Caenorhabditis elegans: one gene and its partner. The main gene of each other region encodes a partner of the protein of the gene in region 2 in a complex. Each region holds a gene or a part of one and is shown on either strand. Other genes may lie near its edges.

Region 1 (3,754 bases), on a different chromosome or scaffold from region 2:
ATCGTTAAAACTAAAAATTACCTGAGATCTCTGATAATAAAGAAAAGAAGATATGTCTCAGCATAGAGAGCCTTGTCGTAATAGGCGATGTGAACTGCTTCAAACTGGTCTGTTTTGATGGCAAAATCGATGCATTCTTGATACTTGCGACGCGATTCCTCGTATTTTTCGTCGAGTGACAAGCATTTCGCCTCAATTAGCATAATTTTGGTCTCAGACACAGCTCCTTCCGTATTATTCTCGTTGAACAATTTCACGGCTGCAATCTGTTCAGCACATATTGACAAAAGCTTCTTCTTCTCATCTTGATTACTCTCGACGTCTCTTTCACATCCTTCGAGGCACACGGAAGCGAACAAAATTCGAGCTTGACCGATATACTTCTCTCCGTTCTTCTTATTGCTGGTGTAATCAATGAGATCCTCAGCAAACCGTCGAGCCTTGGAGAACTTTTCCATTTTGAGTGCCTGCTGGACGATGCGACGTGTGGAATCACATGCTTCTGGGTAGTTGAAGATCAATCTGAAAAATTAAAGTTATAGAATGCCCAGCCCATTTCCGTTTAATTCACTTACTTGAACATGTTCAACTCATGTTCGAAAAACTCCAAGGCCTTGGCGTCGTGGTTCAAATGCCTGCACACTCTTCCGTAATACATGTAGATTGTACCAAGCAGTTGAAAATTGGAGGTTCCGAACTCCATTGTGTCCTCTAAGCGTCCTTTTCCATCCTCGTATTGTCCCAATTTCATGGCCGTCACCGCGCTTTTCAGCATTGCTTCGATGACTTCATCCTTAGGGCCATCATAATAAGAGACGTCCATTCGTTTTGCGAATGTGGAAACTTCTGAAATAAATCGAAAATTGCGAGCAAAAATAAAAAAATAGAGGAATTTTACGCAAACAGACAAAAATTTCACGCGGATCTGCACGAATACACGAAATATTTAAAACGGGGAAAGTTTCTTCAAATATCTCACGAGGTTTAATAGACTATTACACATTTTGTTTAAAATTTTACAATTTTTCAATAAAACAACCGCTGAAAAACAAATAAACTTGAACAATGACTCGAGAATCTCTGTGGGGAAGTGAAACTTGGCGGTTAACGCGTTGTTTTTTCGCGCGCTCTCAACTTCTAATTTAGCGCCGCTTTCTGATATGTCGTCAAATGTGTTGCCGATGTACGCAAGTACACCATCACGCGCATTTGCACACTCAGTGGAGTTTGCAAACAAATTTTCAAAAATAAATTAAATACTGTTTATTGTTTAATTTTATGCATATTTGTACAATTTGAATGTTATAGTTTGATTAAAACTATTCGAAACATGTAAATAAACTTTAAATTTGTAAATGTGTCGCTTCCCAGACCGTATATTGTGTATTCTTCAAATAAATATGTATTTCGCAGAAACTGTCTTCCCAACTCCGAGCCGCACTGGCGGATAATTCGCCGGCTGCTCCAATATCACCGGCTCCATCTGGCTCGGCCTTGTCACTCGATGAGTCGTCTGGAATTTCAGACCGCGATGTACATTCTTCTCAGGAACAAACGGCACATCTCTCCGAAGTCGATGTAAAATCGATTCATTCATCGGATAGCGAAGATGGTATGCTGCAGTAGAACAAGGAAGATATTTATTTTCTATAATTTCCAGAACCAGCGCAAAATCCCTTACCAGAAGTTCCTGCAAATTGTGGCCCTCCGACGATACCTCTAAATGTTCTATTAGACTTTGCAATTCAACATGTTTACCACGAGATCACAGTTCTTGCGGAATTGATGCAGCGGAAGACAAATGATCAAGGAGAGCAGGAGCGGAAAATGTCTCTTGTACATTTTGCACACGCTACTCGCAGTCAATTTTTGAAACTTGTAGCATTAGTAAAATGGATACGGATTTCGAAGCGAATGGATGTTTGTTATGTAAGCTTAATTCGCTCGATTTCGATCGAAAAAAAAACATTAATTTTCCAGTCTATCGACTACCTTCTCGATCTCCAATCACAATATTTCATCGACACGGCCGATCGATTAGTCGCAATGACTAGGGGAGATCTCGAATTAGCTCGTCTTCCAGAATACCATATTGCGCCAGCTATTGATGTTCTTGTATTAGGAACGTATAATCGAATGCCATCGAAAATCAAAGAAGCTTTCATTCCTCCAGCAAAGATCACACCGAGAGAACAGAAACTCGTCACTTCCCGATTAAATCAGCTCATTGAAAGTCGGCTTTCTCGACTTTCAAGCGGAATCCCACCAAATATAAAAGAAATTCACATCAACAATGGACTTGCAACTTTACTGGTTCCTGGAGAGTTTGAAATCAAGATTACATTGCTCGGTGAAACAGAAATGACAAAGTGGACTCTATTGAATATCAAAATTCTCGTGGAAGACTACGAACTTGGAATGGGACTTCCTCTTGTACATCCATTACAGCTTAATCAGCTTCATGGAGTACTGCAATCTCGGATGAATGTTTCCTTAAATCCTATTAAAGAAGCTTTCTCCTTTTTGCACAGTTTCTGTGTTTCACTACAATTGGATGTTTTGTTTTGTCAAACTTCAAGATTGGCAGCTGGAAGGTTACGTGATAACATTACAATCGAAAAGTATGACCCAAAAGAACGAGTTTTGGTAGTTGGATACTGGGTTAAAAGATCGAAGAGTCGAAGATTAACTGTAGGACAAGTCAAATGTGATGCACAATACAGAGTTCAGATCTATGAAGATCCAAATGACAAGCTAGGTGGACTTAAAGTTCGTCATTTCCCTCATGCTCCTCAGCTCGGACGACTTGATTCTGGAGCTGGAATGTTGTCAATTGATCGACTATTATCAGAAACATATGTGGTCAGATGTAAGGAACGATTGATGCGGTTGAGAAGAATCCTTGAAGCTGCTGAACCAAGATTAGAAGTGAAGATGACTGGAATCTCTGCACCGTCACTTTCTCTTGCTCTCCTACCGGATACCTCTTCAAAGGATGAAATGATGACGGTATCTGTGAATTCATTCTGTGGAAAAGTGCTCTGCAACGTTCACATTCTCAGTGAGTTGTGTCGTTTCAAATTCCAGCATATTAATTTTAAAAAAATACTCTATTTTTTACCAAAATTATAAAAGAAATAAACTTATTCATATTTCAGGTGCTGAACACGAAGATGTCCTGGCTTTTGGAAAAGCTCTCTACAGTAGTCAATGTTCAGCGCACACAATTCAAATGTATCTTAGAAAACTTCGTGTCGCCCTCGTGATAGAACGATATCGACGATCAGTGAAAGCTCTTCCAGTTCGTGAAGTTCAAGAAGCTGAGCTTCTTCCATTTGCAAAGGAATGTCTTGGTGATGCTCCTGCCCAACGAATTATTCTTCAGTTCCTTCGATCTGAAGACTATTATCTGCTTGTCACATTCTCTCCCGATGAAAAAGCAGTTGTTAAGACTCACATTCAACTTTTGGAAGTTGTTGGAGACCGAGCTCAGTTCATTCAGTTGGAGGATGATGAGATGAATGGAATGCATGTAAAAGAAGCGATTAATCAAGGAACGATGCGTTTCTCGCCATCTCATAAAACATCACTTCAAGAAGAGTGTTCGAGAGAGCAGAGACTTGCATTTGCAGTGGCTACTGTAGAAGATCGGATCACGTACATGTATCTGGCGGCTGAATTAATGAAAAAGGGAATTGGAGTTGATGTGAGAAAAGATTCAGCACACGTTCCAGGAGGGCTTGCTCTACATATC
Region 2 (3,638 bases):
GCTCACACTCGTACGGATTCTTCTCAACAATTTCTCCTGGAAATGTCATTGTGCTCATCGCAGCAAGTTCCTTTTGCTCGGGTTCGAGAGCTGAACGATCAACGGGTGTTGGTTCAGTGCTCCGGAGAATTGATTTGGTTTCAATAACTGAATCTTCTTCCTTGATTTCGACAGTGTCTGTTTGATGGAATGTTTTCACATTTTCAAGCTGTTGCGCAAATCGAACTCCCGATTTTTTCCGTTTGACGGTGGTTTTTGTTACGGTTTCCTAAAAATTGTGTGTTAAAATAATAGTGAATTGTTTCTATTTAGTATTTGAAATTACCTCAACAATTTCTTCGACCTTAATCACTTGGGTCTCTATCTTTTTGGATTTCAGTTGTTGGTCAGAATTATTGCTTTTCTCGATATTATCATCAGATGCATAATCATCAGAGTCGAGTTCTTCTACACTATTGTTAAGATTCTCTTCATCATCGTCTCCTTCCTCTTCATCTTCATCATACTCCTCATCGGAACTCTCTTCATCACAAGTGTCTAAGAAATCTAACAGCCGTTCCATTTCCTTCTGTGTTACTCCAGGTTGTGCCAGCAAACGTTCATTCATTCCAAATCTTAGTTTTTTATCAGTTGGATCTTGTTCAACTTCCTCAACTTCCTCTAATTTACCCAAATCCTGTAAATCTTCGTTTGAAACTTCAAAAGGTTTCGGAATTGGAGCTTCTTCCATCTCATCATTGTCTTGTTCCAGTTTCTCTAGTTCTTCCAAACGGTTCATCACATCGTTGTGATCTTGGTCACCATTCAATTTGTTCTTTTCTATTATCTTCTCGTTCTGTTCATCATTTTGAGACATCTTTTTGTTTTTGCGATTTTGATAAAACAGTTTTTCCATCTCTTCATCGTATTTCTCGACAATTTCGATAGGTCCTCCATCAATCGAAACAGATGAGAAATTATCTTGAGCAAACTTTATTTTGTCATCCAACATTCGAATTGAATCGAGACCTTCCTCACGCTGCCTTCTCATTTCAGAAACTCTCCGATCCAAGATCTTTTCAGCTGTATGAATGCTGCATTCTCCGTAATAGTTTGCACCCATTTCCATCGTAACTTGATTCGTGCGAACTACATGGGCACCGCAGAAATAACCGACTTCGCAAATTTTCGCCTAAAAATTAGAATAAGATTATATGAGAGAGAATGTAATTTACCAAAATAGGAGCTTCCAACTTTTTCGAATATTCCTTTGCTCGTTCCAGAACTTTTTCATAGTTATCAGCAATGATTCTTCGACATTCGGTCTCAACTTCGAGCCGAGCTTTAGCCTGAAAAATTAAATTCATACAGACTTAATTATTTTTATACTATTTTAGGGAAACAAACTCGGAATTTAAAAACGAATTATTTTTGTCTTGTCGTTCATAATCATGTAAAAGGATTTTTAATTTACCGCATTGCATTCTGCAACGTAGAGTTCGCTCATTTTTTCAGATAGGTCTTCTTCACTCGTCACAGTCATTTTCTGCAAATCTTAGAGAGGTAATTCGGAGCGGAAAATGGGAAAAAATGTTAAAAAGTAACAATTTCCGAAAGCGCAATTTAAAAAAGTACAAAAAAGTACAAACTTTTATGGAGACACTACTGATTTCTGGAATCTGTTAAATCTTAGAAATGAACTCTTTCAGAATTTCAAACTTCTTTTTTTATATGCGTAAAACTTATCGCATATATTTTATGCAATATTGAAAGTAAGTAGAGTTTTAACCATTAAAGTAACTGAAACCAGAGTTTTATCGTAAAAATGGTAAAATATTCGGGAGTGTTGGTTTCCCTGGAAATGAGTCACGTAGAGTGTGAGTCCGCAAACACCAGCTGTGAATTGCGTAGAATACATTTAATATCACGCTCAAATAGTTTTGAATTAATTTAATTTTTTAAAAACATTTTTTATTCTGTTTATTTAGTTGATTCATTCAAAATATGGACAATTTAGTGGATATTGATGAAGATGGAACACAAGAAAAGGTATTTCGATTGTTAAAATCCATCTAAAACATTTTAATTCAGCTTTCTGTGAATTCAACTCCCTATCAAACACAAGAATGCGTTCTTTATGGATCTATTTTCGCAAAAAATGTCCCAGTTAGTTTTTAAAGTAATTGGACTAAATTCTAATACAAAAGTTTCAACTTTAGGACTTGGAACGACGTTTAGCCGGCCTTTGTGATCCGGGATGTGAGGAATTCTTCGAGCATGAGATGTCATTCAGCCTACGATCTTCGGGTATAATGGATATCAAAACCGATATTAAGTAAGCTTTTTTGTTTATCTATTTAAATATTTGCATGTATTTGATTTTTGAAGATTGCGAAGAAGATTCCGAACAGAACATCGAATTCAAAATTATTGGCAATTAAAGTACATTGGAGGTCGGTTTTAACCTTATAATTCGTATTTTATAATTTTTTGTTTTATTTCAGTTCCGGAACCAGATCAAAAATGCCCAACTATTGTTCGAAAAGAAATCAGTTCACTTGTCCATTCTCAGGATATGATGACGTATGCGAAATCCTTGGGTCTCCGCATGGACTATGAATATATGACACAAGGAAAATTGTGGACAAAAGGAAATATAAAGATTCTGCACTCAATATTGACTAGTACTTCTCGCGCAGGAACATATGATTCAAATTCAATCAAATCTGTTTCTGATTCTGCGTTAGTGGAAATCAGTATCTCATTGCCCGAGTCTGCAGAATACATGCCGGTAGGTTTTTTAGTAATAATTTCGAATTTATTTTTTCAACTCATTTTAGGCTGCCAAGTCTCTTCGTGATTTTGCCGATCAGCTGATGCCACTTGTTAATATGGAAAAAGTCGATTACTGGAAGAAAATGTTCCCAGCTCAAGCAGCTCCTCGTCGTTAATCTTCATTAATTGATTGATCTCACTTTGATACGTTATTTAATTTATAAAATTCACGAAGTATTCAATAATGTTAATATCCCACAAAGCTTCAATGGTTTATACCTTTTATTTTCTGATATCAACATTAAACATTTTTTTACTCCAATGAAAATTTAGAATGTCATCGAAAAATCCAGTAGATGAGCAACCTTGCTGTGGCTCCCATGAAGGTTCGCATCAAGATCCTGCTCCGGAGACGTTAGTAGTTGAAAAAGAAGTTAACAATGGGGAAAAGAAAATACGAATTGCTGTTGTCGGATGCTCTCACGGAGAAATGGATGCTATTTATGAGGTAAAATTTAAAAAAAAATCATATTTTTCGAACAAAATTAATGGCATATTTCAGATCTATTTTCTCTATTAGATTGTTTTAATTGCTATTTAAAATTACAACTATTTAAAAAAAATATTTCAGACAATGACACTAATCGAACAGAAAAATGGCTACAAATTCGATTTGCTGATCTGTTGTGGCGATTATCAAGCTGTCCGAAACTACGGCGACCTTCCACATATGAGTATTCCACCAAAGTACAGAAGTCTTCAAACATTCTATAAATACTATTCTGGAGAACAAAAAGCACCAGTTCTAACTCTATTCATCGGCGGAAACCATGAAGCATCTGGTTATCTATGTGAATTGCCTAATGGAGGATGGGTGGCGCCGA

Evidence for each region.
Region 1: mdt-18 (region 2) and rgr-1 share a complex: the UniProt entries of both Caenorhabditis elegans proteins name them as parts of the mediator complex.

Annotation. Positions count from the first base shown.
Region 1 is NC_003281.10:9,392,319-9,396,072, forward strand, and holds the start of rgr-1 (Mediator of RNA polymerase II transcription subunit 14), read left to right. Parts: upstream 1-1,785; coding exon 1,786-1,929; intron 1,930-1,980; coding exon 1,981-3,061; intron 3,062-3,158; coding exon 3,159-3,754. Other genes in the region: gpr-2 (G-protein regulator 2), read right to left, coding at 22-522, 576-823. UniProt on the Caenorhabditis elegans protein: Component of the Mediator complex, a coactivator involved in the regulated transcription of nearly all RNA polymerase II-dependent genes.
Region 2 is NC_003279.8:6,492,177-6,495,814, reverse strand, and holds mdt-18 (Mediator of RNA polymerase II transcription subunit 18), read left to right. Parts: upstream 1-1,967; 5' UTR 1,968-1,983; coding exon 1,984-2,028; exon of another isoform or gene 2,029-2,070; coding exon 2,071-2,145; intron 2,146-2,198; coding exon 2,199-2,314; intron 2,315-2,367; coding exon 2,368-2,432; intron 2,433-2,483; coding exon 2,484-2,770; intron 2,771-2,819; coding exon 2,820-2,930; 3' UTR 2,931-2,993; downstream 2,994-3,638. Other genes in the region: uri-1 (Unconventional prefoldin RPB5 interactor), read right to left, coding at 1-268, 326-1,171, 1,215-1,328, 1,454-1,486; dbr-1 (Lariat debranching enzyme), read left to right, coding at 3,089-3,262, 3,386-3,638. UniProt on the Caenorhabditis elegans protein: Component of the Mediator complex, a coactivator involved in the regulated transcription of nearly all RNA polymerase II-dependent genes.